Tamandua tetradactyla: one gene and its partners. The protein of the gene in region 2 interacts with the protein of the main gene of each other region in a pairwise test. Links are inferred from orthologs where the notes say so. Each region holds a gene or a part of one and is shown on either strand. Other genes may lie near its edges.

The links.
Region 1: the proteins of SPA17 (region 2) and MYL6B interact in binary tests that used the Homo sapiens proteins (3 or more experiments, as listed by UniProt). The two-hybrid records come from large-scale screens. The link is inferred for Tamandua tetradactyla from reciprocal best matches to the Homo sapiens genes SPA17 and MYL6B.
Region 3: the proteins of SPA17 (region 2) and AKAP7 interact in a two-hybrid assay, tested with the Homo sapiens proteins (3 studies listed by BioGRID and IntAct). The two-hybrid records come from large-scale screens. The link is inferred for Tamandua tetradactyla from reciprocal best matches to the Homo sapiens genes SPA17 and AKAP7.

The regions. Positions count from the first base shown.
Region 1 is NC_135333.1:123,210,410-123,220,104, reverse strand, and holds MYL6B (myosin light chain 6B), read right to left. Parts: upstream 4,907-9,695; 5' UTR 4,777-4,906; intron 4,540-4,776; exon of another isoform or gene 4,413-4,539; intron 3,535-4,412; 5' UTR 3,489-3,534; coding exon 3,294-3,488; intron 2,558-3,293; coding exon 2,530-2,557; intron 2,313-2,529; coding exon 2,169-2,312; intron 1,948-2,168; coding exon 1,774-1,947; intron 1,371-1,773; coding exon 1,293-1,370; intron 1,181-1,292; coding exon 1,152-1,180; 3' UTR 1,142-1,151; intron 1,000-1,141; 3' UTR 893-999; downstream 1-892. Other genes in the region: MYL6 (myosin light polypeptide 6), read right to left, coding at 267-324. UniProt on the Homo sapiens protein: Regulatory light chain of myosin. Does not bind calcium.
Region 2 is NC_135334.1:13,029,346-13,040,085, forward strand, and holds the start of SPA17 (sperm surface protein Sp17), read right to left. Parts: upstream 4,076-10,740; 5' UTR 3,931-4,075; coding exon 3,909-3,930; intron 3,640-3,908; exon of another isoform or gene 3,537-3,639; intron 2,888-3,536; coding exon 2,708-2,887; intron 1-2,707. Other genes in the region: SIAE (sialate O-acetylesterase), read left to right, coding at 4,347-4,413, 8,642-8,803. UniProt on the Homo sapiens protein: Sperm surface zona pellucida binding protein. Helps to bind spermatozoa to the zona pellucida with high affinity. Might function in binding zona pellucida and carbohydrates.
Region 3 is NC_135331.1:192,690,390-192,700,772, reverse strand, and holds the start of AKAP7 (A-kinase anchoring protein 7), read right to left. Parts: upstream 4,192-10,383; 5' UTR 4,143-4,191; intron 1-4,142. UniProt on the Homo sapiens protein: Probably targets cAMP-dependent protein kinase (PKA) to the cellular membrane or cytoskeletal structures.

The DNA of each region.
Region 1 (9,695 bases), on a different chromosome or scaffold from region 2:
TCCAAACTCCACACACAGCAGGCATTAAGCGACCAAAGAGTTTCACATACCACACCACCTAAAACTCACCAAGAGCTTGTGGCTCAGATCTAGAGTGGAAGAAGAGGGAGGAAGAGAAGAAAATGGAAGATCCAGAAGGAGGAAGAAGGGGAGCCAGGGGTTCCTCCCCTGGGGGTGCTGAAGACAAATGTTGGGGGGTTATAGGGGATGTACTAGAGGAGATGTCCGTCACCCTAAGGGTGACCTCAATAGGAGTCAGAAATTACCTGCGGTCTGGTCCTCCGTGAAGTCACACTGCTCAGAGAAGAAGGGAGCGGTCAGCATCTCAACTCCAGTCCCCCATCTTCTATCCCAGTCCCACAAACTGAACCACAAACTCCTACGCTTCCCAACAGGACAGAACCCCAGACTTTCCAATCCCACCTCCAGTCATTCAGGCCCTCAGGCTTCCTTTGACCCCTCCCGCTGTTTTCTCCTCGTCCCCCACCCAGGCTTCCCGTCTCGCCCCAAATCCCACTCATCCTCGCAGGATCCGGGCCCCACCATCTTGACTGCTCAGCTCTGCGGGACCTTTTCCTGCAGTAATGGCTTCTACTCCAGGCCCAACCCTAGTCTTAGTACGTCCCAATGACGTCACCGTTAGTTGACTTAGCCAATAGGAACACTGCCCTGGGTTTATGCAGATGAGGTAGGTGGAAGGGCCGCGGCTGCTCCTTTCTCCAAAATAGCCCTACCTGGGGCACAGAAACCGCGGAAGTGGGTGGGGGTGGGGCGCAATGAATCTGCTCTTCCGAGCAGGAGAACGATCAGAGGATACCAGATTTTGGAAAGGAGAGAATGGGCCCTCCCGTTCCTCCCTCCCCCACCTCTAAAGAAAACAACAGTCCGAGGCCAAGGGAGGAACAGTCTCTTTATTTGGAAACATAGGTGGCCTCCTAGTGGCAGAAACATGCTTCCGCCGGGGGATGCGGGGGTGGCCAGTGCTCGGCCCCACGGGATCTGTGGAAAAAGAAGAAAGTTGCCAAGCCCTGGCGCACGCGCAGCAACAGGGCAGGAGACCGCGCTTCCCTGCTTTTCTGCGCTGGTTGTGGGAGGGGAAGGAGACTTGCTTCTCAAGTGTGGGGATGGGAGGTTGTCCTACCTGTGGAAGCTCAGACGCTTAGGATGTGCTTCAGGAAGGCTGCAGAGACAGTGGGCAAGAGGGGCTTCAGAAGCCGTTCCTTAAATAACCCAGACCTTAACCACCCCTCCCCCACCCACATGGTGGGCTGGGCTCCCCTCTGGCCCCTCACCTTCATAGTTGATGCAGCCGTTGCTGTCCTCATGTCCTGCCAGAACAGTCTCCACCTCCTCCTCAGTCATCCTCTCTCCTGAAGCCCAGACACAGCGTCTTAGTCCCTGCCTTTCCTCTCTCACCAACCCAGTTCCCCACAGCAACTATCCCCAAAGGAATCGTCCTTCCGCAATGGCAGTGCCTTGCATCTGTTACTGTATTGCTTTCCAATAACAAAGTGCTCGGGGACTGGTGAAAGCTTTGATAAGCAGGAAACTGAATTCCTGAGGGTTAAGAGACTTGATCCAGATCACAGAGCAGATGTATCTGTTCCAAAAAGGAAACTCAGGTCTCCCATCTCATCCCCTTTCCTCTGTCTTTTGGGAGGCATCTTCAATCCTCCCTCATTTTAGCCTTTGAAACCCTTCAGATTCTGCCCCTTCCTGGCTCTGCCTACTTGGCCAACCTCTCCGTCCCACAAAAGATGATCTCTGCCTCACCCAGGGTGGTGAGGACGTGTCTGAGCTCTGCTCCCATGACTTTGCCGTTTCCCTCCTTGTCAAACACTCGAAGCCCCTCTAAGTAGTCCTCATATGTGCCTTGGTCCCGGTTCTTGGCCACCGCCTGGAGCATGGGTAGGAAAGTCTCGAAGTCCACACGCCGGGACCTCAACTCTGGCGAGGTAAGAGAGAGGTCACTGTGGTGTCATCGGGATCCAGCTCCCATCCCTACCAGGAAGGCTTTGATCCTCTCCACCCTGTTTAACATTTCAGGATGTTTTTCTTCCCCTGTGTTTGAAGTTCTGAGACCCACCCAGCATCCTCAGCCATATTATCAACATTCCTGGTTTCCACCATCGACTTAAAACCCCACAATGTTCAAAGCATCCCCTCACCATCACTTTTGGGGTTTCCCAGGACCCTGAGCACCTCGGCGTTAGTGGGGTTCTGGCCTAGGGCCCTCATCACATCGCCACACTGGCTGAACTGGATCTTGCCATCCCCTACTCGGTCGAACAGCTCAAAGGCCTCCTTGAACTCTGAGGTTATAGAGAAGGATCAGTGTTGACCAGGAGTTACCATCACCAGACACGAAGAAGGTTCTGAAATTATGAGCTAGAGCTGGGCAGAACAAGGGACACAAAGACGACTAGTGTGGGAGGCTTCAAGGTCGGGACTGGAGTTAAGAGAATAGAGAGAGTATCTCAGCAGGGGCTTGGGGCTAGACAGTGGGCTAAGGGGGCAGTTTTTCCTCACCCTCCAGCTGATCCTTGTTAAACTCGATCTGTGGAAGAAAAGAGCAGGTGAGGAGGGATGACAGGGTTTAATAAATCCCTCTCCAACACTCCTCCCAACCAACTGGCAGCCACTTCTGGGGAGGGGCCCAAAGGGAACAGGCTTGAAGCCCAACTACCTCAGTCCCATTCCCGGCTCTGGGCCTTGGGAGAATCCCAAGAGGAGGAATTATGGGGGGAGGGTTTCCTGGGAGCAGGCTTAATCCCATGCCACCTGTTCCCCTCCCTCCACTGCCCTGAGCCCTGCATCCCTCACATAACTGGGGGCTGAACAAAGGCTAAATTTACCCCCTGCCCCCAGCTGTGATTGTCTAACAAGCCTGTCCTCTTCAGCCTCTCCTCCAAGGGTTCAAAGCTATGGCCTTTTGAGTTGAACTGCAAGCCAGGGACAAGCAGCAGCAATCTCCCTTCACCTTGAGACTATTCTTAGAACCCAGATGTTCCCATCCTAAAAGTCCCCATCTCCAGCAGAGGATCAGTGAATGTGTGTATGCACACATGCATGCAACATGTACACAAACATTCACACTTGTTATAAATTAGAACAGCAAACACAAAAGCAGAGACACGAGCCTGGATGCTTCCAAATAGGGGACCAAGGGGACCCCCAATCTCATCTCAGTGCTCATTGATTTTGTACTTTCCACATACCCCCTAATCCCCTAGGTTGTATCCCACCCTCTTACCACCCCCTCCAAATTCTATCCTCATTTTTTGAGGACTCACCACCACTTTGGAGAGGTCGATGGGGGGCTCCTCGGGTTTTTTAGGGGCAGTGGGAACAGCTGGCTCAGCTGTGGGCTTGGCTGGAGGGGCTGCTGCTGCGGGCTTGGCTGGAGGGGCTGCTGTTGGCTTGGCAGCAGGTTTGGAGAAAGAGGGCCCCAGTGGCTTCTTCACGGGAACATCCTTCTTGGGAGGCATGATGTCCGGTGGCCAAAGGACAGTGTGTCAATGGGGGCATCCATCTCTGTTTAAATAGCCAGGGAGTCTGGGATGTCAAAGGGGGGGGTGGGCAGTGGCAGGGAGCCAGTTGGCCGTGGCCAGGGTGAGGTAGAGGAGAGATATGCCTGTCTGCCCTCACTCCCTTGGCCTGCTAAGGTTCATGACTCCTGCCCCAAGGTCTTCCTGGCTCTGCCCACTGCCCCCGCCCCCCCCAAACACTGGCTGAAACAATGTCCCCTTTGGGGGCAGGGAAAGGAAGCCAGAGACTGTCCAGGATAGGGGAGTTAACCTCCGGGGTGAGGACAGGATACATGCCAGTACCAAAGAAGGGGATCCAGGCATTACAGGCCCCTAGGCCCCTGACTATTTGAGTAGCAGCTTTAGACTCTTGAAGGCTGAGGCAGGGCAGGGGGCATTGTGAATTGGGGTAAATTAACATAGGGGCTGGGGCAGAGAAAAGTGAAAAAAAAAAACAAGCAATCCTTTCACCCGCCTCTGACCATGGGGGAGGGGGGATGTAGCTGATCCCACAGCCTAACATCCAGCACCTGTAGTCCCCGGCCACCGCCTAGCCCAGAACTGGAGCTGTACACAATATAAACAGTGGTAACAGTAAGGAGAGTGCGGCATCTCTTCCCCGCCTTTGTCTCCTCTTTCCAGTACTGTTTTAGAGGTGGAGGTAGGGACAAGGATCAGGTACTTGCCACTGCTACTGCCAAGGAAGGAACCCTTTTTCACAAGCCTACGGTCATTCAAGTCGGGCAACCTATGGGGTGCGAGCCGACCCCACTGAGACCGTGGTGGCACCTGGGGGTGGGGAGCTGGCTCTGGGTGGCAATGACCTTCTCTAATCCAAAAGGATGTGGGGGAGTAATTCTATGGGCTCCCAGAGAGAGTACTCACCCCGCAACCAGATGGGAAATAAAAGCCCTGAGTCAGGTGCCAGGTCACAAGCCTTGCTGGGGGCGCTGGGGAAGGGTGGGAGTTGGGGATGTTTGGTAGATGGGACAGGTTGCTGGCTACTTTTGACCTGGGGGAAGGATGGGAGGATTTAGGAAGCATTCAGGGAAAGAGAGCAGTGATTCCATTTAGGCCCTGGGGTTCAGAGAATTGATGCTGGGTGGTTAAAAAAAAAAAGCTTCTGAAGCTCGCAACCGCAAGTGGTCCCATTTTAGGAAAATTAGGCCTCATTCCTTCTAGAGAGTACACACACATCCCTAAGTCTGAAATAAAGGAAGGGACCCCGCCCCAGCCCGCGCAAACTCACCCAGCGGGGTCCGAGGAAGGGACGGGGGCGGGGACGGGGCGGCGCGCAACGCGGCCAGGTCCCTGAAGGGTTAATTCCGGCCGCCTCGGGGCATGCCGGGAGCTGTAGTCCGCGGGCGTCCGCCGCTCGGGGAAACGCGGCTCTCCAAGTGGAAGCGGATGCGGGGCGGTGGCTTCCGGCCTTTGAAGGCAGTTGGTGACTCAGAGCTTTTCGAGCGCGCTTTTTATTCCGGAACTTTAAGGCAGTGAGCAATTAAGAACTTCACCCCTCTCCCTAAAATCCTGCGAGGTCCCTCAGGATAGCCCCCTTGGTTCTAGTGAGTTTCTCGTTTAGTGAGGGCGAGGATATTTTTCAGGGCTGCTGATGCGAGAAGGACCCAGAACCAGGCGAGATGGTGAAGCTGCAGCAGGCGGGATGGAGGTCAGATAACAGGAAGCACTTACTGGCCCGGGGAGAGTGGCTGCGGTCTCGTCTTCCACTAGTAGTTTGGTAGAGATAGAACAGAGGTCACTGAGTTGCTGTGTGACTTTGAGCAGTAGTTTCCAAAGTTGTATTATTTTTTAAAAAGCTGATCGTTCTTTAAAATTTGGAATTAAGCCCGAACACCTGCTTCAGAGGTTGTCCAGTCTCTTCCAGGTCGAAGCTTCTTCCTGCGGCCACATCTGTGCCACTTTCCCGCTCTTCGGACGCTTCTTTGGGGTGCAGCTGTGCTCTCCACCCCTCATTCTGTGACACCTCTGCCTAGCATTGGACTTCACTCATTCTCCCCAGACATTTTCACCCATTCCCGCTTGTCATGTATCGAGGGTCTCCTCTGCCTCTGTACTGGGTGAGGGAGAGAACCTTCCCGGTCGGGCTCCCTTTTCAGTCACTGAAGGATTTCAGGAATCCCATGGGAGGCAGGGAGTTAGTTGTGTGAGGCACAGATGAACTTTATGAGCTCTAAATGACGTTCTGTGGTCAATGGTTGGGGAAAGCTTCTTGGAAAGAAAATGGATTGTAGATTGTATTAACAGAAATAGCAATGATGATGGTGATGTTAGCAGCCATTCTGTTCCTCCAGGCCTTCATAGACCAGGTACCGCATTTAGCTACTGAATTATCGCAGAGACACAGCATAAGAAAAGCTAAAAGTATGAGTACTCAGGCCAGCCTGCTCAGATTTGAATCCTCTTTTTTTTTTTTTTAAATCTTCCTTTTGCCACATGCTAATAACCTCAGGCAGGTTATCTCTCTGTATCTCAACTTCTCCATCTATAAAGTGAGGACAATGAAATCTCATTGGGTTATTAAGATGATCGGGTTATGCTAATATTTGTAAAATAGAACAGGTTTGGCACAGTGTTTGTCTAGGTAAAATAAATTTCATTTAATCTTGCCAAGATAAAAAGTAGGTAGTATCTTCCCCCATTGTATATCCATGCATGATTAGTAGGTTTGAAGAAATAGGATGAAAGAATACGTTTCTCACAATTGTTTAGTTACTAGACTGTTTGGGGAAGGGCCACGTTACACGTTTTTTTTTGCAACACACAGAGAAGTTGATTTTGAAGATGTGGTTTATCTGATTTTTTTCTTCTCCTTTCTCCTAGCTGTAGCCCACACTTGGCACTTTGCAAAATGAGGGGTTATGCCATCAGCTGAATTATTTGTGTTTCTGGCTGCCTTATTGAGAAGTAGTGTAAGGAGAAAAGATGCAAACCCTTCCCACAAACAGGTTGGAGGACTAGTCTTCATTTCCTGTACATGAATAACAAAACTGGACTGAACACAGTTTTAACTGGATACAGGTGATTTAGACATCATCATGTGGGTTATCTGTGACAAATGCCTATTCTTTCTCCTCTCCTCCCTCCCCACCTACAGGTGATTAGTGGTTGCATATTTATTGTGATATTAATCTCAACATAATTAGCAAGGGCACCTCTTTCTTTTTAAATATTTTTATTGAGAAATTTTCACATATGTACAGTCCATCTACAGTATACACTCAATGGCTCACAGTATCATCACATAGTATATTCATCACCATGATCATTTTTAGAACATTTGCATCACTCCAGAAAAAAAAAGAAAAAGAAAAAACTCATACATCCCATGCCCCTTACCCCCCACAGTGACCACTAATATTTCAATCTACCCAATTTTATTTTTACCTCTTATCCCCCCCTTATTATTTGTTTATTTATGTTTCCTTATTTTTTTACTCATTTGTTCATACCCTGGAAAAAAGGGGCATCAGACACAAGGTTTTCACAATCACATAGTCACAGTGTAAAAGCTATATACTTATAGAATTGTCTTTAAGAATCAAGGCTACTGAAACACAGCTCTACAGTTTCAGGCACGTCCCTGAAGTCTGTGGGAGTCATGTGAAAGGGCATCTCTTGAAAGGAAAGTAATACATGAAAAACCTGGAGGACACAGATAAAAAAAGAAAAAAATAAGTAAATTGAACTTCATCAGAATTTAAAACTTGTGCGTCAAAGGACACTATCAAGAGAGTGAAAAGGCAAACCATAGAACAGGAAAAAATATTTGTAAATCATATATCTAATAAGGGTTTAATAGCCTGAATATATAAAGAACCCCAACTCAACAATGAAGACAGACACAATAAAAATAGGGGCAAAGGACTTGAATAAACATTTCTCCAAAGAAGATATACGAATGGCCAGTAAGCACATGAAAAGATGTTCGATATCATTAGCCATCAGTACCAGCCACACCTATTAGCTTTCATATCTTCAAAGGCATCCTATGTCCTTTTTACTCAGGCTGTTGGCATTTGTCGTTTATGCCCTTCACCTAGTCTCCAGGTGTATTCCCAAGGCCAAGCAGAGCACAGTACCTGGGATGTTCTCAGCACTCATATTCATAGAATAAGTGGATATCTGGGTAAATGAGAAGACTCAAGGATGAGCACCAATACTAGTAAGTCAATAGGGAGATAGGTGGGATTAAGGTGAGAGAATTCCCTGTGTTTTGGACTCTAACTTTCACCCTGAAGTAGAAGGTTAGGTTGTTTGATTTGCTAAGAGAGGAAATAGGAGGAGGTGGCTTGAGAAAGTAAGGAAGGTTTGAAGCAGGTACTGTGAATAGCTTACTGGATACCCATTCAAAAATACTCATTTGAAAAGCATTTACTAATTATCTTCTGTGCGTGTGGCACATGGACTTGCTGAGCAACACGGAGGCTGGGTGCAATGATAGATCATGAATTTGTGATGGAGCCAATACAAAAGGTAGTGATTTCCTTCTTCCAGAAGTAGTCACCTGGATGATTGAGCCAGGGAAAGACAGACGGAATATTATAATGAGTTGGAGATTTGTGGAGGTAAATCCACAAATTTAGTCCGGGCCAAATAAAGAAAGAATGAATATAGAGGAGGGTGCTATTGGATTGAGAGAATATGGAAAGACATTAAGGGGAAGGAGTCTCAGTGAGATTGAAGAAATGAGATAGTTGGAGAGCTCAAGAGTTGTAGTTGGAGAAAATAGTGCATTTGAGATTAACACTACAAGGGATGCAGAGGAAGACTAGACCTAGGATGGGTGGCCATTGGAGTGGGTGGTTGAAAGGGCAGTGGAAATGAAGGCCATTCGATTTGTGGAGAAAGCCTGTTAAGGGTTCTTCCAATTGCAGGTAGAAAGAAATTAACAAATTGGCTCAATGATAAAGGGTATTTATTGGCTCATGAAAAATCAAGAGATGGGTGGGCTTTTTGTTCAGTTTGATCCACAGATCATGACATAATAAAGGGATCCGTTCTCTTTAATATTCTTGCTAATGTCCTCCTTCAGGTTAGCTGCTTCTTTCTTGGCTCCCCTCCTGGAGCCGGATATGGCTTGGCTGTAACAGTTCCAGATATCACATCCTTATACCACAAGAGGAAGAGAAACATAAAAAAGACAAACAACCCAATTAAGAAATAGGCCAAGGATTTGCATAGACATTTCTCCAAAGAAAATATACAAATGGCCAATAAGCATGTGAAAATATGTTCAATATTATTATTAGTCATAACAGAAATGCAAATCAAAACTACAGTGAAATAGCACTTCACACCCACTAGGATGAACATTATTTTTTTTAATTATTTTTTTTTACATAGGCAGGCACCGGGAACCGAACCCGGGTTCTCGGGCATGGCAGGCAAGCACTCTTACCTGCTGAGCCACCGTGGCCCACCCAGAACATTATTTTTTTAAGAACGGAAAATAAGTGTTGGTGAGGATGCAACAAATACCTTGTTGGTGGGAATATAAAATGGTACAGCCTCTATTGAAAACAATTTAGTGAACTCTCAGAAAGTTAAACAGAATTACCATATGTTCCGGCAATCCTACTTCTAGGTATATACCCTAGAGAACCGAAATAGGGACTCAGAAAATATTTGTACATCAGTTTCATTCAGCATTTTTCACAATTGCCAAAAGATGGAAATAACCCAAGTGTCCATAAACAGATGAATGGACAGACAAGATGAGGTATATGCGTACAATGGAATATTATTCAACCATAAAAGAGAATGAAGTTAATACATGTGACCACAGGCATTTGTGAGGAATACATGTATATGAACATTGATGAAACTTGAAGATATGTTGAGTGAAATAAGCCAGACACAAAAGGGCATACTGTTATGATTTCATTTATATGCAATAACAATGCAAATACACAGAGTCAGAAAGTGGAGTGCAGAGTACCAGGGGCTGGGGAGAGAGGGAGAATGGGGAGTTTGATGTTCAATGGATGGAACTTCTGTTGGGGTGAGGGAAAATTTTTGGTAATGGATGGTGGTGATAGTTGCACAACATTGTGAAGTAATTAATGCCACTGAAATGTCTGGGTAAAGTGGGAAATTTTATTTTGTATTATGTTACCATGTGATAAGGAGGAAGAAGGCAAGCTTCTC
Region 2 (10,740 bases):
TTATAAACTATGTTAAATACTTATATGATTTCAAATTCAAAATATATTCAAATATATTCCGAGAAGTCTAGCTTCTTCTATCCTACCCCTTCAATCCTAATCCCATCTCCCCTAGAGCAACCACTAGTTTTTTAATGATTTATCTTTCCATTTAAAAAATATAAAGCCATGTATATCAACCCCTTTGTTAGACAAATAGTAGCCTACAAAACACACGTTCCCTACCTTGCTTTATTTATTTAATATATCCTGAAGATCACTCCATAGCATGATATAGAAACCTTCCTTATTCTTTTATAGAACTGCATATTATTCCATTCCATAGATGCACTCTAGTTTATTTAATCAGTCCCCTATGATGGACATTTGGGTTATTTCCACAAATAATGACGCAATAAATAGCCTAGAAGTGGAACTTCTGGGTCAAAGGATAAATACATGTAAAATTTTGGTAGATATTGCCAAGTTCCTGTCTAGAGGAGTTGAACTATTTTATATTTCGTCCAGCGATATATATAAGTGCTTGTTTCCCCACAGCCCTGCCTATAGAGTATGTTGACAAATTTTTGGACTTTGCCAATCTGATGGAGGGATTGGGATGGTATCTCAGTGTAGTTTTGACTTGGACTTATGTTATTAGTTTAAGTATATTTTCATATGTTAAGGACAATTTGCATTTATTTTGTGTAAACTGCTTCTCATATGTCTAGCCGATTTTTTTCTATAAGGCTGTGACTTTTTCTTTACTGTTTTTACAAGCTATTTATTAGGTTTATTAATCCAATGTGATAAAAATTGCAAATTTTTTCTCAGTTTCTAATTTGCAATTTTATTTTCCTTACAGCAATTTTTACCATGTAAAATTGACTTCTGTCAGTTCTATCAACTGTTTTTCTAATTGTTTCTGGAGTTTTGAATCCTAACTAGCAAAGTTTTTTTCTTAAGTTACAGAAAAATTGACTCATATTTTCTTCTAGTATTTGTATGGATTCATTTTTTTAATGTTTAACTCTCCGATCAATTTGGAATTTATCCCAGTATATGGTGTAAAGATTTGATCCAATTTTACCTTTTTGCATCTTTATCCTATTATCATTTATTGAAAAGTCCGTCTTTTCCCTACTGATCGGAGATATCATTTATATCATATACTAACATGTTTCCTGTCACAAAAATCAAAGTTAAGACTAGGAATTCTGGCAACAGAATTCTTATATCTTGTGGGAGAATTGCTTAGAGGATCTGATTTTTCCCTCTCTATTTGGAGAGGCTAAATTCTGTTAGTATGCATCAGTCTAATAACTCACCTTTGGTTGACATGGGTGGAATTGGGCATACTGCTTAATATTTTTCAAATGGTTTTCCCCATTGTTTGTTAGTAGAGAGCTAATATTCCGAGACCATTAAATTGAATCACCAATTGCTTTAATTACCATGATCTGATAACAGTGACTCAAATGTTTTGTAATGGGATGTTCCTGAGTTCTAAAATTAAATAAATGACTAAAGACTTCTATTGCATGAAACCGATGTTATAATAACAAAATTAAATTAAAGTGCCATACAGTTCATCTCTTACCCCAAATATTTCTGTTAATAACTTTTCCACCTATGGATAATTTATCAAAATGTTTTTAGTGGACATTTAAGTTTCAGGTTGTGCAACAAATATTCACACTGACTGGGTATGGAAAAGTCCAGCAACATTCAGGAAATTGGCAGAGATTCTGAGCCCTGTGAGAGTATGGAAAACAAGGCAAGGGAGTGTAGCTGTACAGCGTATTTGGGAGAAATTCTTTGAATTCAAACTTCAGGTAGGTTTCTCTTCTTTATAAAATGATTTAAAATGGAATGTTTGCTTATGGTCATCGTAGTCACCATTACTAGTCTTTTGGAATAATATAATCCAAAGTAATGATGACAACAATTTATAGAGAAAGGATGCTCTAGTCAAGAATAGGTTTTTGGTATAAATTTGTAGATAATAATTCCCATCTTGACCACTGGATCAGGTCCTAATAGTAATGACTTCAAGGCTGGGCATTTGGAAATTTTATTTATGGAAGTGAAGGAATTCTGCTTTTTCTTTCAATCACAGAGTCATTGTTAACATGGATCTCAGCCTCTGGGCTGGATGGGACCTTGAGACTATAGAGGAAGAATATAATTTGTCTTCCCAAACTGGGCAATTCACTTTGAAAGCATTTGCCTATGTACCTTTCATTGTAGAAGTTTCAAACACTCCCAGTGAATACCAATTTATTTTATCTAAAAAGCTTAGAATGATTTTTTTTTTACCACACTTATAACACTTTCAAAGAAGAATAAAAATGTAAAGAAAACCACAAATTCTCCTCCCAGGAAGAATAAACAGTGAACTCCCTGGGATGTAGAGGGAACAGTTTGCTGGAAAGTGGAGGGTAGACTGTATACCTAACTCTTGCACTCCCCTTCCACTCAGTGTGTCCATGAGATATACAATGACAGAGGTCTGGATAATAAGTTGGCAACCTTCATTTATATGAAACTTATTTAAGAGAAACTGTCAAAATTGCAAGTTTCACATAGCAAGAACTGTTATTAGAAGCCATGGGCTTCAAAAAGGTTTTCTGTAAAATGGGGAGGGTCCTAAGCAAGTTTAACCATAAACAAATGTTTAGTCTTTGAAATTTTTTAAAAATAAAAAGCCTATATTTAAGAAGCTTACTTTCTCTTTTCTCTAGAAGGTTCTCAAAATATGCTGCTGCAAAAGCTGGTATATTGTCCGGTTGCTCCCTCAGAATCTCGCGTGTCAGCCCTTCAAGAAGATTCCCAAATCCTTGTGGAATTCGGTAGTGAGTGTTGGAGAATGGAATCGACATCTCTTTGGAAGGAATGCCTATTGTACCTAGAATTTCATTAAAGAGTACTGTCTTTAAATTTGCCTGGTTTTACTTTATATAATCACAACTACGACAACAGATTACTTCTGACAACCAAATTTTCTGGACTTCCAATATATTTTTTTCCAGTACAATGCTAGTCAATTAATTTCTTCCAAAGAGTTTTGAATTCTCCACTATAAATTATAATATTACAAATACATCTAATAGGCCAAGCACTTTTAAAAAATTACAAAAATCAGAAAATTTTCACTGTGACACTGAGTACTTCTCTCTCTCTCTCTTTTTTTAATCTCTGTCCCTCAGAGATAAAAAGATAAGGAAAGTGTTTCTTTCCTTAAATGATGAGGATAATTTTTACTATCTCACAGGAATTTAGAGAGAATGATTTTTAAAAAGCTAGTTTAATTGAATTCATTATAAAATACTGAGAAGATCCTGTTTAGGAAATTATACACATAACTATATCTAAAATAAAACATTTCTTTTATAAAGTAGCAACTAGGTTCTAGAAATTTCTCTAACTTGTTGAATGAAGAAAATTCACGCTTAATCTTTCCCTTGCTGCCTCTCCTGAAGTGTGATCTATAACCTCTAAACATTCTGTATGTTCTGGAATGGGGCAGGGGGCACAAGGCCATGATTTTGAAATACCAGTCTCTAAAGATTCCTCTATATTCTCTGGTTTTGTTGTGACCAGGCCATCTCCTCCTGTCTTGGAATATAAGGGCTAGATTAAGGGGAGTTGCTAAGCAACGGACTGGGTTACTGAGCATAAAAAGACACTTAGGGATCTCGTCAGTTTGTATGTGGGTGCGTGTGTGTTAATGCTTAGTAAAGGCGGAGGTCGTGGATAGGCATCCAGGTAGCGGATTAGGCGATTTAATGAGGCTCAAACTGTGGAGGGATTTTTCTTTCTTTGAGAGGTCAGGAGATGAGGTATTGAACCAATCTAGGGTTGTGAAAACAAGGACTGGCGAGACTCTGAACGAACGTGGGGCTTGGGGGGCAGATAGAGGGGAAGACCTGGTCTAGTAGGGCGGAACATCGAGGATCTGGGATTTAGACTCTTGCAGAATGGGCTGTCTCGACTTCCTATCTGCCGCAGACTTCTAGGAATGTGTACGGGGTCTTGAAGGAATAGGAGAAACGAGGGGGAGAAGCGAGGTCTCGGTTTTGGAGAGGAAGTAGGAGAAACCACCTCACCTCTTCTTTTTCTCAGAGCTGGTGCGGATGGTTCCAGTTGTTTTTGCTCGTTGCTGGGTAACCGTTTTCTGGAATTACGGCGGCCGAGAGGGGGGAAGGCACGGCCTCGCCCTGCGGCCGCGGGCAGCTTCGCGGACTGAATGGCCTGGAAAGGGTGGAGTTAGGTCGCCCCGCCTCTGCCCCACCCACCTTTGCCCCGCCCCCTCCCACTGTCCACTTCCGGGTCCAGAGCACCGGTGGTGGCGGATCCTGGCGAACATGGTCGCGCCGGGATTTTTTCTTGGGCTGGTGCTTCCATTAATCCTGTGGGCCGGCAGCAGTGCAGGTGAGGCGGCCGGGCCCGGCCCAACCCCTGCCCCTTCGCCTGTGCCCGCTCTGAGATTCGGCGCCCTCTGCGGGATCTCGACCCGTCCTTCTCAAGGTCGGGACAGGAACCCTGCCAGGAGCCGCGATCGCCCAGGCCCAGGCCTAGCCTGCTGGTGCCTGGTGGGCCGGAGCTCCAGCCCTTCTGCCTTCTCCTCTCCCTTGCTGGGTCGTTATAGGTTGTCCTCCTTCCGAGGCAGCGTGAGGGGAGGCCCAAAGATGCCCAGACCGAGGCCTTCAGTCTTTGAATCACTTCAGGGGAGCTCGGAGTGGAGGGGGCGAAGCTAGTTAGATAATATTTGGAAACAGGTGACTGAATCATCCAAAACATTTCAGTGCTGCCTCCTCAGTGGTACCCTTGGGGAGGGTTTGCTTCAGGCTGGGTTCTGTGGGGGAATTAAATTTTACTAGTTTAAGTGGTGATTAGGGCTAAGAAATACAACCCCCTCACTACCTCAGAATATTTAAGGCTCTGTTTTGATTTTTGGCACGGTTACAGATAATGGTGGTGGGATAGTGTACACGGCATTGGGCAGGAGGGTGACTGGCATTGGGCTATTGTTCAGGCAGGATCCTACCTTTGAATACCCCTCTTTTTGCAGTAGGCAGGCTGGACACTGAGCAACAAGAATGGAGAAACCAGAGATGGACTCTGTTTCATACAAAGTAAAGTGATAACGCTAAAGCTATTCTTTCTCTTCAAACCACTCAGAGTGGACTCCAAAGATTGTCTTTTCAGAATTGAAAATTGAAGTAGGAGAATAGAGGGCAGAAAAATAACCACGGCTCTACATAAGAACCTGCAAAACTACCCAGTTTCAAACGTATCAGCCCATACAATGCTTTTTCTGGATTTAATAGAAGTGCAAATGTGTAGCACTCTGCATATCATTCCCTGACTCCTCTCCCCAGCAGTGACCTTTGAATTCCATTTTATGAGGTGGGGAGAAAGTAAAGAGGAGAGGTGCACCATTCTAACTAATAGTTTTTCTGTTAATTTTAACATCAGTATTTTATCTTCTTTTTTTTTCATGTCCTTATATCACCTTCCTTAACATTGTATTTTTCATTTATTAGTGCTCTGAATTTTCCTTCTACCTTGATTGCATTTTCTGACATTTTCCCTTTATGTGTAATTGCATTTTTATCATTTAATATTGAGTCATACAAAAACATATGCAAGGGCGAAACAATAAGACAAACATCCAGGAATACACCACCTAATTTAAGAACTATAACATTGTCAGTATAATTGAGATGTGCTTAGTGTACCTTCCCATCCCAATCTGCCAACTCCCCGTCAGAAGTCACACAGTACTAATTTTGTCAGTCAACTTTTAATAATGGTCTCTTCCTCACAACATCAATTCCTATTTTTCTACTCCAACCTCCAATTGAAAAAATTGAAGGTGTTAAAAAAAAAAGCAAATGTTAACTGTGTCTAAAACCATTACTAGCCCTTAGCCCTGCCCCTATCCTTCCCATCTCCTACTTGGTTCATAGCTCAATTCCTTGCTAATGTTCTAGTGTATATCCTTATTAGCTTGGAATTTTACCAAGACGGGGAATATGACTGTATTCCCATCAGTATCAAATTGTGGCGGAGTGAGAATTACAGTAACTTTGGAATTAGGTAGTTGTTAGCCTCCTCATTAATTAGCTAGGTGAATAAATTTAATGTCTGTCATCTGTTTAGCACTGTTCCTGCCACATGTAAGTTTCCCAAATAGACTATAAGCTACCTGCTGGCAAAGATTTTAATCTTTTTTTTTTCTACTGTTATGTCCCCAGTGCTTAAAATAGTGCCTGGCATATAGGTACACCCATATATAACAGATACACTAGCTACCTAGTAATTTTAAAAAATTGTTTGATCTTCTTGGATCTCACTTGCTCTCTTTTTTATTAGAGAAATTGTGGGTTTACAGAAAAATTATGCATAAGTACAGGGTTCCCATATACCACCCTATTATTAACACCTTGCATTAGTGTGGAACATTTGTTACACTTGATGAATACACATTTTAATAATTGTACTATTAACTATGGTCCATGGTTTAATTTAGGGTTCACTGTTTGTGTTGTGCTGTTCCATAGATTATTTTTAACTGTCTTTTTTCTAGTAACATGTATATGGCCTAAAATTTCCTCTTTATCCACACTCAAATATATAATTCAGTGCTGTAAATTACGTTCACAATTGTGGTGTCACCATTACCACCATCTGTTACCCAAACCTTTCCATTTTTCCAAATAGAAACTCTACATTTTAAGCCTTAACTCCTTATTACTTATCCCCACCCTGTCCACTGGTGACTTGTATTCTAGAGTCTGACACTATAAGTTTGCTTTTCTAATTATTTCATGAGATCATACAAAATTTGGCTTTTTGTGTCTTGCTTATTTTATTCAACATGAGGGTCTCAGTCTCTTGATCAGTAAGTAACCTGAGAGTTGTGTTTTAGGGTGTGTAAGATCTTTTTCACCTCTAAAATTCTTTAACCCAGAATAGGGCCCTGCACAGAGAAGTTCAGTAAGTGGGTGTTGGTGATAATAGACTGACTTGGAAAGGTATTTACTCCTGGCCTGTGGGCCACTGGCCTTATGCCTGTGGAACCCTTCGCTTGTTCTAGGTTCATATGCAAGCAGCAGCCAGTTTTCCTCATTTCACTCCCCTACTCCCGCCTTCTCTCTCCTTAGCTCTTATGCCTTTGGTTTTTATTTTTTGTTCTATATGAAGCACCTACCCAAGACAAGGGCCTCCCACACGTGTCTCCCTGCTTCCTCCACAGCAGGCTGCCAACGTGCTTATGCAATTCTGGGGTGTTGTCTCTTCTTGGAGCCTTTTGCTCACGGTAGCTGTTCCTCTCCAGCCCAGTAGACCTTCTGGGCAATCTTTGAGTGTTATGTAGGTTTTATGATCAAACTAGCTCATATGAAAGGGTTGAGGATTTGGGGGACTGGGCTTATTCAAAGGGCAGGATAAATAGGCCACTAAGAATGTGTAGGAGAGACTCCAGTAGCTGCTCTGCCCTGTTCAGTACAGCCTAAGGGGCCTTCATCGTTTGTCATCGTTTGTAACTTCTAGGGAGGACAATGTCAACCTCGTTAATTCTAATTCTCTTTCCTGTCTTTTTTTTTGGTCATTGTTAAGACACTTAAAAGATCTTTTTAAATTATTTTATTCTAGGGATATTTGTCTGTTTTGTCCAGACAAATTGGGATACAATTTAAGAAATTTCCTTTTTCTTGTTAAATTTTGATGAGGAACTCACTGACACAATTTGGATCAATGCTTCTTATAATCAAATGATTCGATATAGGTTGGATGTTAAAAATAGGAATGCTCTTGTTAAAGTGAATTCTTATTCAGTCTTGCTAATGAATCTCTAGAATAGAATCCACAATTTCAAGTGTGCTTTCTCTAGTTTTTTTTGTATAATTTAGCTTGAGAAATGGGTAAAATTGGGATGAAAGAGCTTTGGTCAGGCATTTTGATCTTCTATATCTGACCTTATTTTGCATCTTTGTTCATCTGAATTTACCTTTGGAGGATGCAGATTTGTCACAGACATTCATAAATGCTTATTTAAAATTTTCAGTGCAGTATAGTGGATTATCAAGAAACCAGAACAAGGGGAATTATTTGAGGGAAATTAACACTGGTTTAGGATGGAGAAGGGGGAAATAAAGAGTGGAAAAAAAGATTAGAGAAGACTGTATTGGAGAGAGGCATGCTTCCTTATTCTCAGCTACTTGGAGTGGGAGTGATAATAGAAAGTAGGGGAAGGAAGTGGTTTATTTTCCTCATAAACACCATCTGTAGGGCACATAAAAGGAGCATTTGAGTGATTTGGGCAGGGGGAGAATCAAGCATTTGGGGCCAGGCCTAAGAGTAAAGGAAGATTGAGAGCGCCGAGGGAAAGAGGCATTTGGTATGCTAGTTGCCCTATGTTCGTTGAATTTTTGTCATTGGTCATTTTGTTCTGTGATGCATATTGTTGGAGTCTTTTCATGTTATGCGGCTTACCTAATTAGGAGGAATAAGATCTAGTTTGAGATGATTAAAAGGAGTGGGCACATCCAAATTCTCTTGTGTAAAGGCTATATGCTCTTTGCTGTTTCACCTGATTCATTTGGTGATGAATTTCCTAGCGATACCTTTTTAAATATTTTGCTGAAATTTTTAGGTGTTGGTTTTCGCTTTGCTTCATACATCAGTGACTACATGGTGCTGCAGAAGGAGCCTGCTGGGGCAGTGATCTGGGGCTATGGGCTACCCGGAGCAACAGTGACTGTGTCCCTTTGCCAAGATCAGGAAACCGTCATGAGGAAGGGGACCAGTGTGAAAGGTAAGGCGCCTCATCCTCTGTTCAGCTCTTTTCTTCTTCTGCCACCTGCTGGACTACTTGAGAATGAATTCTTATGCTTAAGCTCAGGTTATTCATCCATCCATCCCCAAATGTCACTGGTATTATTATTAACCATTTGCTAGGCACTGAGGATACAAAGAAAAATAATGCTCAGTCAAAGTCCCTGTCTGTAAGGAGCCCATGGAATAATGGGAATAGACAAACACTAAGTCACGTGGTCTAGTGTGATATGTGCTATGATATAGGGGTGTTGGAATACAGAAGAGAAACAGTAGACTCAGATTGGATGGTTAGGAGAGGTTTCTACAGAAGGTGACACTTGAGCTGAGTCATTTGTGCATTGGTATGGAGAAGTGGCTAAGAACCAAGGCTCTGGAATCATTGCCTGGGTTCAGGTTCTGACTCTGTCATTTAGTGGCTATGTACCCTTGGGCATATTATTTAATCTTTCTGCACCACAGTTTATTTGTAGAGTAGAAATAATATTTTTTGGATTATTGTACTTTGAGAATTAAAAAAAATTAACACATGTAAAGTACTTAGAATCGTGCCTGGCACACAGTGAATACTGATGAAATGTTAGCTGCTCTTACTGTTGCTATTCCTTGTTCTATCGTTATTATTACTGCTCCTATTATTACTTGTATTATTATTTCATCAGTCACTCAAGTATTTGTTTCATGCCTGGTGTGCCAGGCCCCATACTAGGTCCTGGCGATACAGTGATGTATGAAACAGATGTGGTCTCTCCCGTAATGAAGCTTATAGTTAGGGGAGGGCACACAAAAAAATAAGCATTTGTAATTGTATATGATAAGTATGGAGAAGTGGAGGTTGCTATGGGAGTGCTTTGTAGGGATAGTTAACTTAGTTGAAGCCTTATCTTGAAAGATGAGTAAGGCAAACCAAGTAGCCTGGCAAAGGCATGAGTGAGCATGGATCATTGGAAAAATGGCAAAGCAGGTTGGTTTGTCTGAAACGCCTGAAATATGTGACTGATGGTGGGTGATGGAAGGTGAAGTTGGAAAGGTCAGGACACTTGTCTGCCACTGCTAAGGAGTGTATATTTTATTCTGGATGAATGGATTTAAGCAGCAAAATAATCATGATTGGATTTATGTTTTAGAAAGGTTATTCTGGCAACACTGTGGAAGGTTTGGTAGTAGGACCTGCTAGCAGCTATTACGATATCCACACAATGGATGTTGAAGGCTTTACTCAAGAAAGTAGCTGTGAGAATATTCAAGAAGGCTAGTATTAGCAGCCTTTGTGAGCAGGGAGATCCTGCAAAGGGGTCTCTGTCTAGAAGAGAAACATGTAGAAATAGTATGTTTAGGAGCCAAAGCTAGAGTAAGTAGGTGCAGGGAAGCATGCTTGGGACTGGGTCAAGTGGGGAAACCTGATTATATCTTAATTAGAAGTAGCTATTTAGTTATGGGATGTAGAGGTGAGGGTTAGACAAGTGAAGAAGGTGCTCTGGGCAGAGGTGGAGTTAATATGGGAGTTGGTTGTTTGCACAATGACTTGAATATATATGTGACAAGGAAGTTTATGGAAATTTTATTGGATTGCCTTGTTAGTTCTGTCAATATACAGTCCTGATATCTAACCCAGAGTGATCTAAAATCTGATGCAGGCTGTTCGTATTTCATTTCAATTCAGCGAACACTTAAACATAGCATGTACTAGATATAAGGTAAGCTCTTCTAGTTCTTGTATTTTAAGACTTTTTAAAGGAAGGAATGTTATTGGGTGAAGCTAAGAGACCTTCTTTAGATTTTAATGCTATCAGTGATTTGCAGGATGAATTGAAAGTGAATAATTCAAAGGGACTAGCAGTGCTTTCTGTCTGTGTTGTATCCCTCTTAGAAATCAGCAACATGGTGAACAGATAGTAGTAATCTCAATAAATGATG
Region 3 (10,383 bases), on a different chromosome or scaffold from region 2:
CACCTAATTTAACTTAATACCAACTAACACCTAAGAAATGATGCAATTTGTATTCAGACATATTCTAAAGCTACTTACATAAACATTATTTACCCCATATTCTAAATTTGTATAAACGCTTTTTATTTTAAACAAGAGGCTTCCAAAGCTTTAATAATTCTTTAAAACACACTACTAAACTCAGAGTTAGATGAAAACTGAGTTAATCAGCAATTCTCAAAAATTTTTACAGTAGTTTCTTAATTCAAAAACTATAATTTTTTCAATCTTTTGGAAAACAAACCAAGATTTTGCTAGTCTTCTTTCATGTTTATTTTTAACAATATCACCTCACTTATGGGTTCTCATTTGTGTAAGTTCTGATCTTCCCCTCAGTAAAGCCATTTAAGTAACTTCTTTCCATCATTACATTTAACGCCGAAAATGCAGTTAAAGATATATGGCTCTAAACACACTCTTCTGGAAATTCAATGATTAAAGAAGGAAAAGCTTCTACAGTTTCCCTAATAGCTCCGTCTCACAGGCAGGCACTAACATTAAAACCACATTTTGCATTTGGTGCTTTGTTTGGTTTTGTGTTCCTTATAACGGGTGGGAAAATAGTAGTCTAGGGAGAAAGTTAAAGGAAGGGGTGTCTGTGTCTAAACAGATAAAGTTCATTATCAGTGGTCTCCCAGGACCTCTCCACGCCTGCGCTGGCAGAAACAAATGTTGAATGATCTAGGACTGAACAAAACCCTGGGATACTCCAGTGATTTTACTTTATGCTTTTATTAAACACTGTGCGGTTTGCAGCTGTTGTGTACCCAGGAAAGCCATGTCCTTTTTCCTGCTCCACTCTTGTGGGCAGCCATGTTCCTTTAATCCTGAATCAATACAGTGGGGTGGAAACTTTGGACTGTTTCCCCGGCATGTGGCACACCCAGTGTGGGTGCGACCGTGTGATCAGAGGGAGATGTGACTCCACCCATTCAAGGTGGGTCTTGATTCGTTTACTGGAGTTCTTTAAAAGAGGAAACATTTTGGAGAGAGCTTCGGAGCCAACATGCGGCCCAGATGTCTGCAGCTGCACAAGGAAAACGCCCCAGGGAAGCTGTTTGAAACCAGAAGCCAAGGGACCGGCAGAGGCCACGTGCCCCCTGCTGGCAGGGTGCTCCAGATCCACGGGCCATTCTTGAGGCCGATGCCTTAGTTTGGACATTGTTATGGCTTTAGAACTGTAAACTTGCAACTTAATAAATTTCTTTTATAGTAGCCAACCGAAAAACAAAAGCCAACCCATTTGTGGCATACAGCATTCCAGCAGCTTAACAAACCAAAGCAAACTCTTATTTACCACTCAAAATATTAAAGAAGTGATGTATTTCATTCTGTCAATCCTACGTTTTCAAATATAATACCTAGAAGCATTCTATAGAGGCCATGGTTTACAGCATACAACATAACTCTCACGATAGGTCAAAGTCAACGCATACACCAAAAAATCTAAATTTTTATCACAGTTTGAGTCAGCTTTATTGTCTTTCGCACACCATACCCCCACACATAAACACACACAGGTACCTTTATCTTTTGTATAAAAGAAAAGAACAAAAACAAAGTTGTTGCTGGTTTTGTTTATAAATTAGACAACTTCAATACCAAAACAAACAATGGGAAAAAGCAACAGAGCACCATAAACAACGCTGCTGTTTATAGTACAGTTCAAATTCATGAAGAGTGGCTGGCACACAGGCGTTCAACAAACACCAGCCTACTGGGAGGCTGCTCGTAAACTCACAAATACTGAACTACACGAGAACAAATAAATGTTTCCTTTCTGGTGTTTATGCTTAAATTTAAAACTATAAAATGCAGTTTATGCTAGAACAAAACTATTAACAGACCAATACTTTTTTGTACCTTAGGGTCACATGCTAAAGGATCCTTACCGTCCCTGTGAACCTGATAAAGTAATTACCTTATGTTTGATCTCAAGGAAAAAGCTAACCACAAAAGAATATTTGTGCAGTATCAAGCATGCACAAGGCTGAATGGAAATCAGAACGCAGTAAATCCAGCTTGCTTTTCCCGGCGTTATCCTAGAACGCAGAACCTCAGGACACTGCCATCTCAGTGCCAGCTTTCACCTGTCCGCCTCTCCCGTGGGAACAGGACAGGGAAGGAAACTTCCGTACCCCAACATCACACTTTGAGGGCAAGGAGATGAATCATATAGAATGACAAATTGTCTTTTTTTTTTCAATGAAAAAAATATTTTAATATTAAACTTCATAGCTTATCTTGAGCTCAACCATCATTAAAAGTTTAGAGAGCATGTGCTGTGCAGCTCCTGGGACACAGGAGGAGGGTGGTCAGCGAGGAGGGCGCACTGCCCTGGGCGCTGGGGGCCAGCAAGCAGACGTTGGGTGCGCCCACATGGGGCACTCAGCTCCCAGCTGCCCCTGCCGGGGTGAGGGAGCCCAAGTCCTGGCTGCACATCAGCGGCACCTGGGCGCTCTCAGAACCAGCAGCCAGGCCAATCAAATGAGAACGTGTGGGAGTCGGGTCGGCTGGCAGGTGTTAGGAGCCCAGCAGGTGAGGCCACATCAGCCAAGGCTGGCAAGCACGCTTCTCGTGTGTCCTGTGCCTTCCTGCACACCTCGGTTCCACGCTGGATCTTTTCAAGGTGGATCAGGGCAGGCCTGTGCCGTGGGGTGGGTGGCGGCCTCCCCAGGGGCCTCCCCGCCGGACCAAGCACCCTACTGTACAGACCCCCAGCTCAGTGAGCACAGGGAGCTTGCAATCCCCTGCCAGGGCGCAGCGCTCGGAAAGCCGAAGGGGGACCTTGCAAGCCTCTCCCGGGCAGCCCACGCGGCCACAGCTCCAGGCCTGGCCCTCTGCACCCAAACGCCTGGCGCCTGCTCAGCTCACATGGGGGTCCCCGCTGCCCCCCAACACCTGGCGCCTGCTCAGCTCACATGCGGGGTCCCTCGGCCCTCTAATGCCTGGCGCCTGCTCAGCTCTCACGCTGACTTCTGGGTGACTGGGGAAAGGTCAGTGACCCACGGGGTGCTTCACGCACCAGCAGGCAACCTGCCGAGGCTGGTGGCCACCCCTGAGCCCATCATACATTCTCTCAATGTCACAGAGGTGAAGAGGCGGCACTCCCTCCCATGTCACATAGAAATAAAAACAGAAGGACACGGTGACTTGTTCATCATTTTCCACCTTGTTAAGTAAAATACTAACCTCCTGGATGCAGTTCTGACATCAAAGTCCACGGGAGACTAGAACTTGAAATACACTTTGCTCTATTAAGTTATCCATAACTTTATTCTTAAGTTATAGAATAACAAACATTTTAGTGGACAAGAATTACATTTATAAGAAAAACAACAGATGCAGATATTGAAACGATACAATGAAAACACACATTTAAATGTATGCTTATTATCCAAACACATGCACACTTTAGTCAATGACTTCATCAAAGACAGGACGATACCGGAGGAAAAGCACATCCACGCGTCACGGGCGGGTAGTAAACACTACTTCATTAAGCATGCGCTCTTCCAGTCCCTCTGGGAGAAAGGACAAGACAATCAAGGGTAGGGGATGCCCCAGCGCCAGCTCGGCCCGGGTGCGCACAGCTGCGCGACCACCCACCCACTCACCCACCCACCCGTGTCACAAAAAGGGAAGGAAAACCGCCCACACTCCCAGGTGGAAACGCACTGAAGTCAGTCAGCAATATCTGAAAAGGGATTTAAGGAAACAGTGACTTCCATAAACACGTTAGACTTCCTCCTTGTGCGCCGCGTGGGCCAGCGGGCGCGGGGACACGGCCGTGACCGCCCACGAGGCCTCCGTCCGCGGCCCGCGCGCTGCCTCGGCTCCTCCGCGCCTCCGCGCCTGGGGCTGGGTCCCGCGCGGCCCACGCTGGGCGGACGGGCCCCGAACCCCCAACACCCCGGAGGCCACGCCGCGGGGCTCGCGGGGAGGCCAGACCCGGGGGCAAGAGCGAAAGCGGCGGGCCGCGCGAGACCAGCCCACGCCGGGCCCGGGTGGGGCGCCTTCCGCTCGGAGCTGCGGGCGCGCCGGGCCACCCGCCCCCAGGCCCGGCCCCGGCGCGCAGCCGCCCCCGCCCGCCCCGCGCTCACCGGCTCGGGCGCGCTCCACGATCGCGGCGCTGCGGGCGGCCGGCAGCGGGGGGCGGGCCGCGGGGAAGCCGAGCGCGGCGAGGCCCAGCCACGGGGGCAGCCGCATGTCCGGGCCGGGCCGCCGCGCCTCGGGGCTGCGCGCGCCGCGGGCCGGAAGGGGCCGGAAGGAAGGGGCCCGCCGTTCCGGGTTCGGGCGCGCCGCGGGCCGCGCTGCACGGGGCGGAGGCCTGGCCCGCCGGAGCCGGGAGCCGCGAGCCGCCGGGACCCGCGTGCCTTCCCGTGGGCCTGGCGTGGCCTGCGTGCCCTCCCGCGGCCCCCGGAGCCTGGCACCAGGCGTTTCCTGGGCGCGGCGTTTCCCGCCCCCGCCTGGAGGGGAGTCCGGGCAGAGCTGGAATGGTTCCCTAACCCGGGACCCCTGGGGATCCGTGTGCTTGGGGAGCCAAAGAGCTGTGAAAACGATTTAAAAATGCTTGGGAAGATTGGATGGACCAGAACGAGACCTGAAGAACTGTACTGTATTTTATTTACTTGGCAAAAATAAGCCAAATAGTGACAAAAAATCTGCGAGGATTTTAAAAAATGGTTTTATGCTTAAAAATTAAATAGAAACCAGTCATTCGCTTTTGCAGATTAAAGTACTGATGCCAGTTAAGCGGGAGAAAAAGGAAACACTTCAGCCTTTTCCGCCTGGAGCAGAGCGACAGCGACTCAGTCTGAAGTGGAAAGAAACGATGTGACAGGAGAATGAGGTGCGACCCTCAGCAAGGTAAGCGCACCCTTTTGGGGCTTCCCACCCCACTTACCAGGAATGCCCCCCAGAGCGGGTGTAAGCAAAGGAGGCCCCTGCAAACCAGGCTGGTTGGCGTGGAGACCATCGACTGAAAGTCACAAAGCTGGTGGCTCTGATTTTAAACAGAATTCTAGCAAGGCCGCTGGCTGCCTTCCACACCCAGAGCAGTTGTGCGCTCACGAAGAGGAAGACCAGTCCCCGAACGCGGATTTCACGCCTGTGAACAGCGGGTGTTGAGGTTGTGCGGGTGCCTAAGACAACTTTTCCTCTAGGAGCTGATCACCTAAGCAGGCACATGAGAATCAGATACATAAGTAACTGCAATAACGCAATAGACAAAAAGCTGCAAAAAGTTAATCCGCATTATTGTGTTCCAGGAAGAATATGAAAGTTTTATTCTCTACCTCAGTGGAGTTATCAGCCCAAGTGCCAATTGTTGTACACTGTCGGTATTATGACTGTAGCTTCTTACCCAGAACATGTCACTGCAGGGACGTTAGAGTTGCCCAAGCCTGAAAGAGCTGCTCCTCACAGGGCTCCTTTGAGAAGTGCCTGGGGCAGGCAAATTCAAGGGAACCTGGGACATCTTATAGTGCCAAAAAGTAATATAAATGGGGACTGTCAAAACATAGGCGCTAACTTAAAACTACTCTCTTTGAGCAAATGGAGAACAATTTGAGCACCATAGAAAAAGTGACAATTCTAAGTATTGTAACAGTGAATACATGAAATCCCTGGAGTCCATAATGATAGTCAAAAAAATAATAATAAGACAGAAAAAACTCAGTCTCATTACTCTGAAAATTGGTGATTAAAAGTAAGGTAAAGCATTCACTCTGCTTTTTCTTAGAAAGAATGGCATTTGGTGAAGAAAAACTGTTATTTTTTGTTTTTGCATGGGCAGGCACCAGGAATCAAACCCGGGTCTCCAGCATGGCAAGTGAGAACTCTGGCACTGAGCCGCTGTGGCCCACCCAAAAGCTGTTTTTTTAAAAAGTTGATTGTGATGATAAAAAGTATGTAAGCCCTCTAGCCTCCTATATTCCAAAGCAGCTAGAAGGAAAAATGTGAGAGGATCGTATGGTAGCCCATGACAACCTCTGTGATCTGTTCTGTAACCACTTGTTGAAGAGTGCTTGGAAAACAATTGCTTTTTTATTTCTTTGCTTTTTATATATGTTAGACTATACAATAAGAAAAAGTGTAAAAAGATGAAATGAGAAAAAGAAGAAAAGAAAGTGATACATGTGGTTGGTCACTTAAACAAACGGGGTTCAGGGCTCTTCTGTCAAAGTCGTTGTGCCAAGACTGTATTCCTAGCCTCAGAAGACTTGCACAAGTCAACAAGCTTTCAGTCTACACTGTGGACAGTGGTGGCTTCTTCAAACAGTAACCTAAAAATTAGCAAAGGACCATGCTGGGCAATTTCCTATGGCCCTTATCTATGTTAATACCGTCAGCACTGTACCTACCAAGTAACTGAACTCAGAGGCCTAGTAGTCACTCTGAATTCCACTCTTCTCCAGTTCACTTGCTACAGATCTCTAGATTCTATTTCCTAGGTTTTTCTTAATTCCATCCCTTTTTCTCCATTCTCAACGCCAATGATTTTAGTTCAAGCACTCATCATTTTCCTTTCAGGTAATTGGATCAGTCTCCTAACTTTTCCCTAGCAACATTCTTGCCCACTGTGGTAGGTAGGGTCAGGTGTCAACTTGGCCAGGTGAAGGTGCCTAGTTCTGTTGCTGTGAACATGAGCCAATGGCATGTAAAGCTCATCTGTTGCTGATTACATCTGTAGTCGGCTAGGAGGTGTGCCTGCTGCAATGAATGACATATGATTTAATTGGCTGGAAGCTTAAATGAGAGAGCACAAGGTAGCACAGCCCAAGCAGCTCAGCATACCTCACCTCAGCACAGGCCTTTGGAGATGTGGAAAGGAATCACCCCGGGGAAAGTTGTTGGAACCCAGAGGCCTGGAGAGAAGGCCAGCAGACATCACCCTGTGCCTTCCCACCTAAGAAAGAACCTCAGTGGAAAGTTAGCTGCCTTTCTTCTGAAGAACTATATGTTTTTAACTAAATAAATCCCCTTTTATTAAAAGCCAAGCCATCTCTGGTATGTTGCGTTCCGGCAGCTTTGGCAGACTAAAATACCCACACTCCCCCAAGAAATCCATTTTCCTCATTACTATTGAATAACCATTCTAAAACACTAACTTCCAGTGTTAGTCCTCTGCATGAAGGCCCAGTGTCTAAACAGAATGAAATGCAAACTCCTAAGCAAGGTATAGAAGTCCTTTTATGATCCGACCTTTCCATCTCTTTCCTCTCTCTCAGATGTAGTAATGCTTTTATTCATTGCAAATGCTTGTTTCCTCTGACCAGAAAGCCCTTTCTCTAGCCCCCCACGTCTTCCACCTCACCATGCCTTCACTTGAAAAACACCTATTCAGTAGTTACGAATCAGCTCAAACATCACCTCCTCTGGGAAGTCTTCCATGACTACCTCAGGCAAAGTTAAATTTTCCCACCTCTGTCCCCAATTACAATCAATACTCAACTTTTTCCCCCAATGCTTGTGTATAAGTTCTTGACTGCAAGTCCAGTGCTTACGCAATTATATCCCCAGCCCCAGATGGTTTCTGGCACATAGTGGGAGCTCAGCAAACATTCATTATATTTATTACAGTGCTGTCATCTTGCAATATATTTGCTTATTCACGTGTCTGCCCTACAAAGGAATCTGAGTTCTGGGGGGTCTAGGATGGGGACTTAGGTCTCTATCCCAGCATCTATCACAGTGCCTGGCAAAAACTGAGTGCTCAGTGTTTGTTGAATGAATTAATGTAATTAATGTACAGAAAATAAATGCATAAACCACAAAAAAGCTGTTTTTTACTGAAGAATGTCAAATGATGAATAGGAAAAAAACTGAAAAATTAGAAAATTACTATTTTGCTGAGCAATTGGGAATTGATTCATGAAAAGATTACCTCTGGATGTTCAAATCAGTAAGTGAAAGGCTAATGGGAGCTAGATATTTATAAGTTTCCCAAGTGTTACTCAGCAAAGTACTTGCCAGTTTCTGAGTGGAGAAGAAAGCTTTATAAAGGCTGAGTAAATCTGGTGGTCACGACGTCAAGCAAGTCATCCAACAGCATCATGGGACGACCTGCACCACCTCCTGTGACGTCTTCTTGTCAAAAGTATTTAACCTGAAGCAGGTCGAGGCTTAAAATAACACCCCCTTTACCAGAAATAGAGGGGCCAAAGGAACAAGTAAAAAAATATCGGGGGGAACAATCACACAAATCCAGTGTCCTCTGTTCTATAAGGTCATTGGACTAAACTCTTCAGAAAGTCACTGTTAAAGGAGGGGGTGAATGTGGGGAAATACTTCACAATGAAGGAGGCCTAAGTGAGGACGGCAAGTAAGAAGCCCCAGGACCCCATTCCCCCACAGAAGGTTTGAACAAGTACAACCGATAGAAACATTTTCCTCAAAGCCCCAGAAAATAGTAGTGGATTACAGTAACAGGGTGAACTAAACCAAGAAACGCCACCTAAAATGGTAGGGTCTCCTGGGAACCTTGCTCCTGCACCCCACCCCCACCCCATCCCCTCAGACCAGAGCGGTAATGCAGCCCTACCATGCGCTCCTGGTCTCTGCTGCGGAGGGAGCAGGGTAACCTTTGTGGACATGCTAGGGTGCACGGACATCTGGGCTAGTCTGGCTGGGGCAGTCAGAAGGCCCGAGCCAGGACGCGGGTCACAGGCTCACAGTCCAGGGACTTGCTGTGCACCCAGAAGAGGCTCACAGAGCATCCGCTGGAGTTATGAAGGAGAGCGGTCAGATCACAGCTACCTGGGGCAAAGGAGTGCCAGCTGTAGGACATACAGTGCAGCAGCTCGTCCCGTTTCCTCGAGAACTGAGACATTGTTTTCCTTGTGCATAGGGATTCCTAGAGCACTGAGCACATGTCCAGAGCAAGATGCATGTGCTGAAAAGACAGGGGGGGAGCACTACAATTTTGCCTCAGGTGGTTTTAATTTATTAAATCCTCCAGAATACAATATACCAGAAATGGAATGGCTTTTAAAAAGGGAATTTATTAAGTTACAAATTTACAGTTCTAAGGCCATAAAAATGTCCAAACTGAGGCATCCAGAGAAAGATACCTTGGCTCAAAAAAGGCTGATGTCTTGAAACTTGTTCCAAGTTCCATTGCTTCCAGCTTCTGATTCCAGTGGGTTTCTGTCTAAGCCGTGGGCCATACTAGAGGGAGCAGTGAGAAGTTGAGAGCCCATAAAAACTGGGAGAGAATGGAGAGACCAGGAGAGGCTGCTATGCATAAGCCAGGGACCAAGGATTGCTGGCAGCCAGCCCAGAATGCCAGTCTGAAGGAAAAAACATTGCCTTGATGAGGCCTTAATTTGAAGGTCTCTTAGCCTCAAAACCATGAGCCGTTAAATTCCCACTGTTCAAATCAACCCATTTCATGGTATTTGCTTGAGCAGCAAAGGAAACAGAAACATATACCATATCAAATGAGACATCACAGAAATGCAAGAGTAGTGCAACATAAGAAAGCCGATCCAATATCCTGCATGGACAGAATCAATTAAAAAAAAATTATCTCAAATGATGCAGAAAAGGAATTTGACAAAATCTGGTACCTTTTCTTGATTAAAAAAAACACTCAGAAAAATTGAGATAGAAAGGTAACTTCCTCAACGTGATGCAGTGCATATGTGAAAAACCCATTGGGAACATCATATGCAATGGAAAAAGACTGAAAGCTTTCCCACTAAAATCAGCAGCAAGACAGGATGCCTGCTGCCACCACTGCTATTGTATTGAAAGTGATAACCAAAGAAAAATTAAAAACAAAAATCCAAATTGGAAAGAAGGAAGTAAAATTATCCCTGTTTGCAGACGACATGACCTTATATATGGAAATCAGAACAAGCTACTAGAGATAATAGACAAATTCAACAAAGTGGCAGAATACAAGCGTAATACACAGAAATCGGTGATGTTTCTATACAAAAGCAGTGAACAATCTGAGTAATCAAGAACACAATTCCATTTATTACAGAGTAGTCACAGAGGTCTAGGGGAACAGAACCAATAGGAGATATCTATAAATATGACTTTTATAAAAGTGTTTCATACATCTGTGGGGATGCATGAGTCCAAATTACAAACTGGCAACTGTGATGAAGCTCTGTGAATTTCCCAGGAGATGCTAGCTGGCTGAAATGGAGAGATTCTCTCTTCTGACTTCTCCTTTAAAGCCTTCAACAGATTAGATTAAATGTCACTCATCACCAGAGTCACTGCCCTAAGCCAACTGCAGATGTAATCAGCCATAGACGCAATCAATATGCTGATGGTTTAAAGTCCACAAAATGTCCTCATGTGACAAATAGGCCAGTGGTAGCCTGA